3 linked regions of the Oryctolagus cuniculus genome follow. The protein of the gene in region 1 interacts with the protein of each later gene in a pairwise test. Links are inferred from orthologs where the notes say so. Each region holds a gene or a part of one and is shown on either strand. Other genes may lie near its edges.

The links.
Region 2: the proteins of FIP1L1 (region 1) and CPSF4 interact in binary tests that used the Homo sapiens proteins (3 or more experiments, as listed by UniProt). The two-hybrid records come from large-scale screens. The link is inferred for Oryctolagus cuniculus from reciprocal best matches to the Homo sapiens genes FIP1L1 and CPSF4.
Region 3: the proteins of FIP1L1 (region 1) and PRMT2 interact in a two-hybrid assay, tested with the Homo sapiens proteins (2 studies listed by BioGRID and IntAct). The link is inferred for Oryctolagus cuniculus from reciprocal best matches to the Homo sapiens genes FIP1L1 and PRMT2.

What each region holds. Positions count from the first base shown.
Region 1 is NC_091439.1:110,501,602-110,505,789, forward strand, and holds the start of FIP1L1 (pre-mRNA 3'-end-processing factor FIP1), read right to left. Parts: upstream 2,801-4,188; 5' UTR 2,525-2,800; coding exon 2,440-2,524; intron 2,319-2,439; exon of another isoform or gene 2,087-2,318; coding exon of another isoform or gene 2,071-2,086; intron 1,606-2,070; coding exon 1,561-1,605; intron 1,470-1,560; coding exon 1,430-1,469; intron 1-1,429.
Region 2 is NC_091450.1:41,650,084-41,654,248, reverse strand, and holds the start of CPSF4 (cleavage and polyadenylation specificity factor subunit 4), read right to left. Parts: upstream 2,801-4,165; 5' UTR 2,642-2,800; coding exon 2,539-2,641; intron 1-2,538. UniProt on the Homo sapiens protein: Component of the cleavage and polyadenylation specificity factor (CPSF) complex that play a key role in pre-mRNA 3'-end formation, recognizing the AAUAAA signal sequence and interacting with poly(A) polymerase and other factors to bring about cleavage and poly(A) addition.
Region 3 is NC_091435.1:202,865-207,121, forward strand, and holds the start of PRMT2 (protein arginine N-methyltransferase 2), read right to left. Parts: upstream 2,801-4,257; 5' UTR 2,657-2,800; intron 1,623-2,656; exon of another isoform or gene 1,309-1,622; intron 1,161-1,308; exon of another isoform or gene 1,158-1,160; 5' UTR 1,096-1,157; coding exon 1,057-1,095; intron 1-1,056. UniProt on the Homo sapiens protein: Arginine methyltransferase that methylates the guanidino nitrogens of arginyl residues in proteins such as STAT3, FBL, histone H4. Acts as a coactivator (with NCOA2) of the androgen receptor (AR)-mediated transactivation.

The DNA.
Region 1 (4,188 bases):
TGGGTATGAATATTTAACAAATTTCATAACTATAAACTATGCTAATCCCAATTTTGTGGTTGGGATCAGGGTCAGGAGCTGAGGTGACAACATAAAACTCAGAACTAAATGAAAAGATCTGATACAGCAGCGAATGAAAAGCATAGCCCTTCCTCAGCTGTTCCCGTTTCCACTTCCCACCCAACCCATCCACGGAGGGACACAGTTACATCGGTTTGGTGGGTTCAGTACAGTGCAGCTACCTGATTCCCAAACATCTGCACTGCCCCGACAAGAAATCTCAGGTGTACTGGCAGTCACTGCTGTTCAACCCTCCCCTAAAACCCTGACAGCCACTAGTCCACTAGCTCTAGATCTGCCTATTCTGGACACGTCACATACATGCTGTCCTCTGCCATGGGTCTCCTTCACCTAGCGTGATGTTCTCCAGGTGCATCCGTGCTGCCACGCGCTGCAGTACTTCACTGTCCTGTTCACGGCCCAACAGTATCCCGCTGCATAGACGCTCCACACTTAACCTGTCACTCAACAGTCCTCGAACACTTGGGCTGCTTCCGTTTTGTTTTTTTTTTTAATGTATAATGTGGCTATGATCATTCACGGACAACTTTCTGAGCAGATACGTGTTTTCATTTCTCTAAGGTATAAACCCAGGAGTGGAACGCCTGAGTCATACAGTAACTTGTTTAACCACTGGATGAAACTACCAGTCTATGCTCTGCAGCAGCTGCGCCTCTGACAAGCCTACCAGCAGTGTGCTGGCTGGGGTTTCAGTTTTGACACAGCGTCACCAACACCTGTCTTAGCTCTGATTCCAGCCACCTCAGGCTGTTCAGTGAGATGCTGTCCACTTTCTAAATACAAACATTCTTTAAAGTTCCCATTTTTACCACCCTGTCCTACATTATAGAACACCAGTGCATTCGGCCAGAGTAAAGTCAGCATGAGTTTGCGTGAGTTGTTTTGAAATTTAAATGTCTACAAATGCCACACCTCTCTGATAATTTGACAGACTCAATCTTATAACATGTTAACTTTCAACTTAAATACAAAGCACTGAGGTCATAACAAGGTGCATTAGACTATCAAAAATATTAATAGATTGTAAAAGCAGTAACCTTCAGAGTTCCTCAAAAGTCTTGAGGTTAAAATATCTTCCTTAGTTTGATGACTACACTGTACATTCTGCTACTGAGCTCACTGATGAGTAGTTACTTAATAGTAAAACCTAGTCAAAGTCTAACTTTAAAAACCGTCCTCTGAGCTGCTACCAAATGGAACTGGTCTAAGGGTAGGCCTTGAATTCGGAAGAAAGTCTGAAAGACTCAGCGTCCTCCAAACATTGTCAGGATGCCGATGAAGAACTTTTGACAATTTGTTGATGGACTCACACAACGTGTGTGCAAGATCAACAGGCAATTGCACTAACCTGGTATTCTCTTCTTCTGGCCTTTCAACTTCATTTTCATCTACCAAACAGAATAAATAAGCGAGTAAGTGAAGATCCCACTCTTACAGAAATCAGTCTCATGCAAATCTGAAGTGGTCACAAGCACTAACCTAGGTCCTTTGCCAAGTCACTGTGCACGTGCACGTCCCACGGGCCTACAAACACAGCAGAGTTAGATCACCTTACAATCCCCCAACAAGACACACCTATACGGGACCTCAGACCTCACGGATACAAAGTTACCCATTCACGTTGCAAAGAACTTCACAGTGCCGCACCTTGACAGAGGAGGAATTTTTTTTAAGACGTTTATTCCAGTTACGTCACTGAGGGGCTGCTTGGTGCCCAACGGACACCTTTACTATGTGACGCTGGAAACCATCAAGAATTCACGTTTTAGGAAAGCAAACACCACGAACTTGCAAACCTCGTGGAACAGAAAGGGGCCCTGCGGCTCCACTTAAGTTAAAAAATCCCGATGTCAAGTCACCTTGCAAGAAGCAAGCACAAGAAGCACTAGAGAAAAATAGATTAACGCTGAGAAAGGCAGGCCAAAAAGGGCCACGCGGTGCTTCTACAACGCGAGTTAATGGGTCCCTAGAAAAAAACCACAACGTCACCTGGCACGGGCGACATCAGGGGTTTCTTTCTGGGCCATAACCTGGGTCCCCGAGTCGACTACTGTAAAAGCACGACCCTGCCCGGGAGGCGCGCTGGCAGGTGCATCGCGCCCACGTTAGACGGCAGTGTCTCCGCATCGCCTTCACTCAGCCAGACTTCTCAACGGCTGTGTCCGAGGGGCGGCAGGGCCCACCTGGGACGCCGCAGCGGCCCGCAGCCAGGCCGCCGGCGCGACGCGGGGCCCGGTGCCGCCAGGCCCGCCGCGCTCGGCCTCGGAGCGGCCCTCAGGCCGCGGGGCCGGCGCGCGGGGCCGGGCGGGCCGCCCCCAGGGACCCCCGCCGAGGGACAAGGGACAGGAAGTTCCGTACCGCCATACAGCCACTCCTCCTCCTCATCCCCTCCGGTCCCGCCGCTCAGTTCCGACACAAGGCGGTCCACCTCGCCGGCCGACATGGCCGCCCGGCCGCCCCTTCAAGGCGCCAATCAACAGCCCCCAGCCAACCCCTGCCCCAGCCTCGCTGCCCCGGGGGCGCGAGAAGGGCGCGAACCCGCCAGCGGGCGAGCCAAGGAAACACGAGACGCCAATCCCGGACAGACGGCCGCAGCGGCCGAGGCGGCAAAGGCGAGGACTTCAACACCGGCCGCCTGCGCACGCGCAGCAGCGTCCAAGCGGCGCGGCGTCTCTAGATGGCTACGCTTCCGCGGCCGCGGCCCCCCCCCCGCCTGACTGCGCCTGCGCGCTGCGCGTGGCCCCGCCCTCCCCCACGGCGTCGCGCTCGGTCTTCCGGCGTGGCTTCCGGGCGGGCGGGCGCACTGCGCCGGCGCGGCTCCCCTCCCCCGCCCTGCCTTCGTCTAGGAAGACTTCCTGTTCTCTCCTGTCTGTGATGCTTTGTCTAAAGCTTTGATTTATCTTAAAGGTTTTTGTTTATCAAACTTAATGCGCAGTTACCTGTCGGTCCTCTTCTGCAAAAGAAATCATAATCCGTCCTCCAGAAATTAACGATTAATAGTCTTGAGAAGTTAATTTTAATAGCCATCAAAAGCAAAAGTGATCCATGAATGATGCATTCTTCTTGTTTAAAAAAACAGTAACAACGTGCACATGAGAGAACCTGCTGCACCACCGTCTTTGGAAGTGGGCACTGGGACCTGCTGTGAGCACCCTTCTGAAATTTTCCACACATTTGCTTTACCTGTGTTGCATGGTTTTCAAAGGAGAACTTAAGGGAAATGAGCCTTCGAGGGCCCAGGGCTCATGTGTCATCCTGCTTCCGGGTTTTTCTTGTTTGATTAACCCAATGGCGCCTTGGAGATCAAACTGCCCGCTTAGCAATGCTGCGTGCAGTCCCAAAGCGTGACTATCACACAGTGAATGTGACGTTCACCAGCTGATCTTCCCCTTTTGTCTGTCACCCAGAAGTGAACAGAACCTTACGGTGAAGATCCTTGGGACTTCCTGCAGATGTGCCCGAGTGTTTCTCCAAGACTGTAAACTCTGTGCAGTGCTGTTTTAACCGCTAATGCTAAGTTTCCAGGCTGCTTTCAAGAACACATCTCCCAAGGGAAAGATGCCCCAGTGCGGGTTAGAACTGGAGTTCTAGGTCTCGATGGTGTTTCATTTCATCTTCCCACTTGTTTATGCCACCTCATCGTGTGAGTTTGAGAAATCAACCTTTCTGCACTTTAGTTTTTCTCAAGTAAAAAATGAGAAGCTGAATTAGGTAATCCCCAAGGTCCCTTTTAGTTGTAAAGGTTTGAAATGGGATGTTCACTTGCTAAAAAAAAAAAAAAAGAAAGAAAGAAAGAAAGAAAGAAATCACTTTAATGGTGGCCATGCAGCACGGTGGGTTAAGGAGCTGCTGGGAGTGCCCAGTCCCATGTTAGAGGCTAAGTTCAAGCGCTGACCACTCTGCTTCCATCCAGCATCATGATAGTGTACCTGGAAGGAAGTGGGTGATAGTTCCTGCCACCCACAAGGGAGACACAGGCAGAGTTCCTGGCCTCTGGTTTTTGGCTTCTGCCTTACTCAACCTTGGCTGCTGCAGACATTTGGGGGAAGAAACCACCAGAAGGAAGATCTTTGTCTTCTCTGCCCCCCACCACTCTGCCTTTCACAA
Region 2 (4,165 bases), on another chromosome or scaffold:
AGCTGCCTGTTTCCGTCCTACCCGGCAGGTGAGATGCACACAGTGAAAGGTGAGATGCACACAGTGAAACCCAGGCTTGCCGAGAGCTTCCTGTCCACAAGTTCCTTCCAAGGAGTTAAGAGTGGGTGGGGGAAGGAAAGTTGGCACACAGGCTCACAGAAATGAGCTAATCCCCCCGCTCAGCGCTTCCAGGAGAGCTACTTCACAGGCAGGGGGGAAGATGGGACAGGCAGCACAAGCAAACGGGGCCTGGGAGGAGGGGCTGGGGGCCTCGGGACGCTGGTCAGGGGGCAGAGCACAGGCAGGAAGGCCCTGGGTACGCGGCACCCACATTGCTGCTGAGGGGCCCAGCCTGCATTCCCACAGGTGCAGCGCAGGGAAGTCGGGGGGCTTGGGGCCAGGGTCTGCGAGTCCAGGAATCCACTGGCCATGGCTAGCAGATTAAACGTTCCCTGGGCTCACGAAGTCTTCTCTACCAGCAGCCATTTCAGAACCGCTGAAACCCACTGGCGGTCTCTCTGGAGTGGCTTCCTTGGCTTCTCAAAACAGGCAGACTGTGCTGGACAGAGCTAAGGTTGTAGAACTTGGGGTGTCATTCTGTTCGCATCTCAAAAATCTGAAAACCTTGCATTTAAAAACATACCACTGGGGCCATTGCTGTGGTAGTGGGCTAAGCCTCCGCCTGCAGTGCCGGCATCCCATATGGGCGCCAGTTCGAGTCCCGGCTGCTCCTTTTCCCATCCAGCTCCCTGCTATGGCCTGGGAAAGCAGTAGAAGATGGCCCAAGTGCTTGGGCCCCTGCACCTGCGTGGGAGACCTGGAAGAAGCTCCTGGCTCCAGCTTCTAATTGGCTCAGCTCCAGCTATTGTGGCCATTTGGGGAGTGAACAGAGGATGGAAGACCTTTTTCTCTGTCGCTCCCTCTCAAATAAATAAATAATAAAATCTTAAAATATATATACCATTTAGGAGCAGGCGTGGCAGAGCAGGTTAAGTGGCCACTTGGGATGCCCACATCCCATCGTCAGAGTACTGGGTCAAGTCCCGCCCCTCCACTTCTGATTCAGCTTGCTGTCAATCATCCTGGGAAGCAATAGATGATGACTCAAGGACTTGGGTCTCTGCTACCCACGTGGGAGACCCAGATGGAGTTCCAGGCTCCTGGCTTCAGCCACCTGGTCCAGACCCGGGCTGCTGTGGGCACTTGGGGAGCAAACCAGCAGATGGAAGACCTCTCTTTCTCCCTCTGTTGCTACGTCTGACTGAGGCTCAGGCAGATGGGATAAGGAGCCTGTCTCAAGGGCAGAAGGGGTTCTTCCCAGCACTGGGATGGGGAAGCAGCTCAGGGAAGGTACGCAGGGCACGTGAGCACGGACACGTGGGGAGTGCTCGGGCTGCCTGTGTCCCGGGGCAGCCCCGTGGGGCCCCGCCCCCGGCCTCACAGGCTCCTGGATCTGTGTTGCCAAGCGGGAGTAGGATGGTCCCACGGCCTCAAACCAGTGCCCCTGAGACATGAAGAGACCAAGAGTGAGAAATGAGAAGCTGCACGTGAGTGTGTGCGCACCGAGAGGTCGCAGACAGAGGGGTCGGGGGGAGCACCCGGAGGACTCTCCTCGGTGGTTGGAGGGGTGGTGGTCGGAGGGGTCGGGGAGCCCAGGGGGACTCTCATCGGTGGTGGTCGTTGGGGTCGGGGAGCCCGGGGGGCTCTCCTCGGTGGTCGGAGGGGTGGGGTGGGGGGCCCCCCAGGGGTACTCTCATGGTGGTCTCTTGGGCGTGCCCTCGCTAGCAGAGAGGCGGATCACGTGGGTGTGAGAAGGCTGGGCTGCCTGAGGGCAGTGCTGCTGCTGGCAGCTGCGGGACACAGCCTGGCTGTACGTGGGCTCCAAGTCCCTTCTCCACCCGGGGCCTCCGTTCCCCGTCCGTGACGTGCGCTTTACAGTTGCAGATCCGAAGCAGGTGCACAAACGAGAGGAGATAAGAAAACTGCTATGTCTTTTAAAGTCTGCGCTGGGAGGTGGAGAAGCCAGGGGAAGGAAGACGGTTAATGGGGGCTCAGGTGCCCGGGTGCGATGTTTTCCCGGGGACCAGAGAAAAAGTGGGGGACAAGGCCAGACTGGAGATGCGCTCCCAGGAGAGCGAGTCCTAGGAGCAGACGGGGGTTGGCTGGGGGTCTCCTACAGAGGGGAGGAGGCCCCTTCCTCGGCAGGGCTCCCCTTCGGACCCAGTGCGGCCGCTCAGCGAGTGGGGCGGGAGGCGGCGGGGCGCACAGCCCAGGACTTGCCCGGGGCTGGGGTTGCCGACCCAGCGTGACTCGCCCTCATTCCAGAACTACACAAGCACCGCCCGAAGCGGACCTCAGAGCGGCCCCAGGGGTCCAAAGACCCGAGAGAGTGCGCACGGTGGGGGGAGGGAGGGGGCTCCGGAGTCCGAGGGAAGAAAATGGGGACCCCGGCCCCCGGCAAGCAGGGGTTCCGGGACCGAGAGACAGGTGTCCCGGAGCGGAGTCGCTCTCGCCCGCCCGCCCCGGCCCCGCGCTCACTGTCCATGCCGGGGAAGGGCAGCGGCTGCGCCCCGAGCTGCTGCTCCACCGCGATCTCCAAGTCGAACTTAATGTGGTCCACGCTAGCGATGATCTCCTGCATGGCGGCGGCGGCGGCCCCCCGGCCCGACTTCCTCTCAGGTCTTTCGCTGCCCTCACTCCTCCACCCGCCGCCGGCCCCAGCCGCACGCAGTCCGCCTCCTCCGCCTCCGCCTCGCCGCCGCCACTGCCGCCACCGCCGCCGCCACCACCGCGCGAGGGATGCCGGGAGCGCCCGAGCCCGCGCCGGTGCTTTTGCACGTCCAGACCCGGCCAATCGAGAGCGGAGGACGACCGCTCTGCCAGGCCCGGCTAGCCGCCCGCCGAACGCAGCGCCTCCCTTCCCCTCGCCTGGCCGGTAAGCCGAAACCCCCGCGCGTGGGAGCTTGCGACGCGGACTGCGCATGGGCGAGGCTCCGCGGGGCGCGTGCTTCTGGCGGAGGGTGACCCACAGGGGAACCGGGCCGGTTCGGCACGCGGGACTGGGCCGCGTGAGGCCGGGTCCCTGGGGCCTGGGGCCCGCGACCCCTACGCTTGGGAGTTCCCATGGGTCCTCACAGCGGCCCGGGGACCCGAGCCTAGGGAGGCCCGGGGGCGTCGGAGGAAACCGGGGTGAGAGGGGGCCGGGGTGACCAGGGGGCCGGGCGAGCGTCTGGGAATGCGGGGTCCGAGGGAGGACGGCGGCCGCGGGGCTCTCAACCCCGGGGGTTTTTAACCTGGGTGCGTTAGTGGACTTGGGTGGGAACAAAATTGCCCTTTTTATTCGTTTTCTCGATGTGAGATCGAGCATTGATTGCATTTAGTTGATTGACAGAGCAGCTGGGGTAGGGCCCGAAACCGTGTCATTTCGAGGGGGGCTGAGGGTCCATGCAGCTCGCTCACGCTGGAAAACCATGGAGGGACACAGAGCATAGTGTAAAATGCCTCTTTCTATATCTAGGTATTGTTTTGCTGATTCTATGTGATTTATTTATTTTTTTCTTTTTTAAGATTTATTTAGTTATTTGAAAGTCAGAGTTACAGAGACAGAGAGAGAGAGAGAGAGGCTTCCATCCGCTGGTTCACTCCCCAATTGGCCGCAACAGCCGGAGCTGTGCTGATCAGAAGCCAGGAGATAAGAGCTTCTTCCAGGTCTCCCACTCAGGTGCAGGGGCCCAAGGACTTCTACTGTTTTCCCAGGCCATAGCAGGGAGCTGGATCAGAAATGGAGCAGCCAGGACTCGAACTGGCGCCCATATGGGATGCTGGCACTGCAGGTGGCAGCTTTACCCGCTATGCCACAGCGCCGGCCCCTATTTTTTTCATTGTTCACGATTTATTTTTGTTTTTCAAATTACTTTTTTTTTTTTTTTGACAGGCAGAGTTAGACAGAGAGAGACAGAGAGAAAGGTCTTCCTTTTCCGTTGGTTCACCCCCCAAATGGCCGCTACGGCCGGCGCACCGCACTGATCCGAAGCCAGGAGCCAGGTGCAGGGCCCAAGGACTTGGGCCATCCTCCACTGCACTCCTGAGCCACAGCAGAGAGCTGGCCTGGAAGAGGGGCCACCAGGACAGAATCCGGTGCCCAGACTGGGACTAGAACCCAGTG
Region 3 (4,257 bases), on another chromosome or scaffold:
GCCGCTGCAGCCGGTGCACCGCGCTGATCCGATGGCAGGAGCCAGGAGCCAGGTGCTTTTCCTGGTCTCCCATGGGGTGCAGGGCTCAAGCACCTGGGCCATCCTCCACTGCACTCCCTGGCCATAGCAGAGAGCTGGCCTGGAAGAGGGGCAACCGGGACAGAATCCGGCGCCCCAACCAGGACTAGAACCCGGTGTGCCGGCGCCGCAAGGTGGAGGATTAGCCTATTGAGCCACGGCGCCGGCTCAAAATGTTTGATTTTTTAAAACATCTATTAGAATATTAGTTTATTTTACATAACCAACATTCCTTAAAATTTAACGTGTTTTTTTTTTCTTTTTTTTACTGCTAGCTTGAATGAAATTATGTGTGTAGCCCAGGCAGAAAACAGTGTGCATACATGTATCTCTTCTAATTGGCTGGTATTATACTTGGGTGTCATCAAATAGCTAGGAAAGCATGCTAGTTTCACTAGTTCAGGCACCAAAACTGAGTCCTAGGTGACTGATATTTTTGTGTGCAGTTTCTTTTTTTGTTTTTTACTAAGTGCTTAATTTTATTTATTTAAAAGGTAGAGAGAGACAGAGAGAGAGAGCGAGAGCAAGCTCATGTGCTGGTTCATTCTCCAAATGCCCACAACAGCAGGGCTTTGGACCAGGCAAAGACAGGAGCCAGGAATTCAATCTGGGTCTCCCATGAGGGTGGCAGATATCCCGCTATTTGAGCCATCACCTGCTGCCTCCCAGGGTGCACCACAGCAGAAAGCTGGCATCAGGAGCCAAGCCAGCACCTGAAGCCAGGCACTCCCACGCTGGATGCAGGTGTGCAGAGGACCCCGTGTTCTGACCACCGGAAGTACTCCCTAGACATGTTTCCAGCACCAGCACGGGAACGCCATCTGCAACCCTGTACCTCAACGCTCTTTCAACGGAAGCAGCCCGCTGTGGGGGCCACCTTCAAGGACACAAGTGACGCTCCTGGCTTGTGAGCTGACACTTGTTTCTGTCACATTCACGCTCGTTGGGCACGAGTTCTTACACTGCAGACAAAATTACCTGAGACTCACTCCCGGGGCAGTCACCTGACGTGGCCATAGTTCCCTCGGGCTCTGCCTCATACCTGCTGCCTTTATTATTTCATTTTCTCCTCCTCGTTTCTACTGAGAGAGAGAGGGAGGGGGAGAGGGGGAGAGGGCTGTTACACCGCTTGACAATCAAATCCATTTAACTTCTGAGGCACACTAGAAAGGTCCCCGACCCAAGTGAAACCAACCTACGCGTGCGCCGCGGTGTGGAGATGAAACTCACCCTCAGTTCTACAAGGCCCATCGAAAGCACCACAAGCGGCACAGGCACACGCGCGTCCCGGGCTGGCCCGGGCGCTCCTGGGGTCGCCCTGGGACGGAGCCCCCCGCCTCTCCTCAGCTCCCCCGCGCCTGCCAGCGCCACACTCCTATAGAACGCACGCCTCGCCTACAAACAGGCCTGACCCTACTCTCGTGATTCCTGGAACCGTAACTACTAACTCCGCTGGAAACCTGGGCCCACCTACGACGGCGCGAGGGTGCGGCCCGGATCTGACGCCGGGGCCGAGGCAGCTCTGGGAGAGACCTGACGGGAGGGAGGGAGGGAGCCCCGGGAGCGGCGCGGCCGGCCCGGGCCGAGGGGGCGTGGCGCCGCGAGGGGCGTGCCTGCGGGGAGGGGCGTGCGCCGGGAGGGGCGTGCGCCGGGAGGGGCGTGCCTGCGGGGAGGGGCGTGGCTAGGGCGGAGCTCTGGGAGAGACCTGACGGGAGGGAGGGAGGGAGCCCCGGGAGCGGCGCGGCTGGCCCGGGCCGAGGGGGCGTGGCGCCGCGAGGGGCGTGCCTGAGGGAGGGGCGTGGCTAGGGCGGAGCTCTGGGAGAGACCTGATGGGAGGGAGGGAGGGAGCCCCGGGAGCGGCGCGGCCGGCCCGGGCCGAGGGGGCGTGGCGCCGCGAGGGGCGTGCCTGAGGGAGGGGCGTGCCTGAGGGAGGGGCGTGGCTAGGGCGGAGCTCTGGGAGAGACCTGACGGGAGGGAGGGAGGGAGACCCGGGAGCGGCGCGGCCGGCCCGGGCCGAGGGGGCGTGCGCCGGGAGGGGCGTGCCTGCGGGAGGGGCGTGCGCCATGAGGGGCGTGCCTGCGGGGAGGGGCGTGCGCCGGGAGGGGCGTGCCTGCGGGGAGGGACGTGGCTAGGGCGGAGCTCTGGAAGAGACCTGACGGGAGGGAGGGAGGGAGACCCGGGAGCGGCGCGGCTGGCCCGGGCCGAGGGGGCGTGGCGCCGCGAGGGGCGTAGCTCGGCCAGGGTGGGGCCCCGAAGAGGGGCGGGGCCGCTGGTAGGCGTGGCGCAGGAGAGGGGCGGGGCCCCGGAGAGGGGCGGGGCCTCCGGTGGGCGTGGTGCCGCGTAGGGAAAAGGCGGGGCGTCGGAGAGGGGCGGGGCAACGGGGTGGGGCAGGCGCGGAGCTCGCGGACAGCCGCTACAGCGCAGAGCCGAGGAACCGGGAGGGCGCTCGGGGGTCCCAGGAGGAGACGGAGGCTTCAGTCGGCCAGCGACGCACACGGGGGGCGAGGACCCCCTCACCCTACAAGTCCTGCCTCAAGTGCAGCCCAGCCTCCTACGCTGGGTCCACCAGGACACCTACCTCAGTCGCTTCTCCCCGCCGAGTTGCACATCCACGCCACCAGCACGTAGGGGCTGACGGTTCCCCACCGGGAGCCAGAGCCACCGCCCTCGGCCTGCGCAGGCGCAGTGCGCACGAGCCGCGCCCAGGGGAGGCCCCGCCCCGAGGCGGGGCCATCCTACCGCGCAGGCGCACTCCACAGGCTACGCCTTCTGCGGGGTAGAGCCGAGTTGCGTCGTCAGCCCGTGTGAGGAACCGGCTCCCGTGCCCACAGCCGGCCGGGGCGGGAGTCGGACGCCGGGAACGGGCGCGGGTACGTAGACGGGGGCGGAGGGCTGGGGGTCGGACGCGGTGCGCGGCAGCTGTGGGCAGCGTGTTGCTGGCCCAAGACCCCGATTGGGGTTTTCTTGTGGTAATTCAGGGACCTTCCGTTGTCCGTGTGGACCGGGTCTGGACGCCGGGAGCGCCGCGGTCAAGTAGGGTTTCCCCCGCCAGAAGCCCGGGGTTACCGGAAGGCGGACTGCCGTCCCTGCCCCAGCTGGGAGAGCGGCCCCAGAGCTGTGTGGTCGCACAGGGTGAGACGAATGTATAAAAAACATTCAACTTGAAGGTCTGATTGGGTTTTGTGTGCAATTCTAGATTCAGTCAACACCCTGTTCTAAATGAGCGTTCTAGTGAGCTGAGCAGATGTTAGTTTAATAGACAGAGGGCTGAGGAGAGCAGAAACAGACAAAAGAGGAATTTCCAAGTTACTTTCCTGCCACATCTGGCCTGTCTGGGAATGTGGCCTCTCCCTCCCTGCCTCTGTGCTCTCAGAAGTCAGATAAACATTCTGCTTTCAGCTTGGTGACTTGGACTTGGGGCATCAGTGAGTCCATAATGGTTTGGTCTTTTGGGTCTAGTGCAGGGCAGCCTCCCATAATCTACACAACAACCTAAAATACCAGCCCCTCCCAGCGCACCTGCTGAGGCAGACGCACACCTAATGGTCTGCATCAGCAGCACACAGGCACGGCCCTGGCAGGGGGTCCACAGGGGCTTCTGATGCTTGTGGGCTGGCATGATGGATTGGAAATGAGAAGAGCAAACAGGCAGGTCTTGACCTGCGTGGTAGAGTGAAATCGCACCAGCCTTCTCCCTCAGGAGGCTCGTGCTAAGCCAAAACCTGTCAGTCAGGGCGAGAAAAGCAGTTCTCAATGAGAAGTCCAGGAGTGAAGTCCAGGCTTGGGGTGGGCATTGTGCCCCAGCCAGTTACGCCACCTCCTGCAATGCAGACATCGCATATGAGTGCAGTGCTCTTTTGAGTGCTAGCTGCTCAACCTGCGATCCAGTTCCCTGCTAATGCACTAGAAAAGCAGCAAAAGCTGGCCCAAGTGATTGGGCTCCTGCCAACCACGTGAGACACCCAGATGGAATTCTGGGCTACTGGCTTTGGCCTGGCCCTGCCCTGGCTGCAGTGGCCATTTGCAGAGTGAACCAGCAGATGGAAATCCATGTATTTCTCTCTCTCTCCCCACCCCTCTCTTTCCCGACCCCTCCCCTTTCCTTTCTACCCTCCCTCTCTCTAAAATTGCCTTTCAAATACATTAATAAATCTTTTTTTAAAAGACAACAAAAAAGTC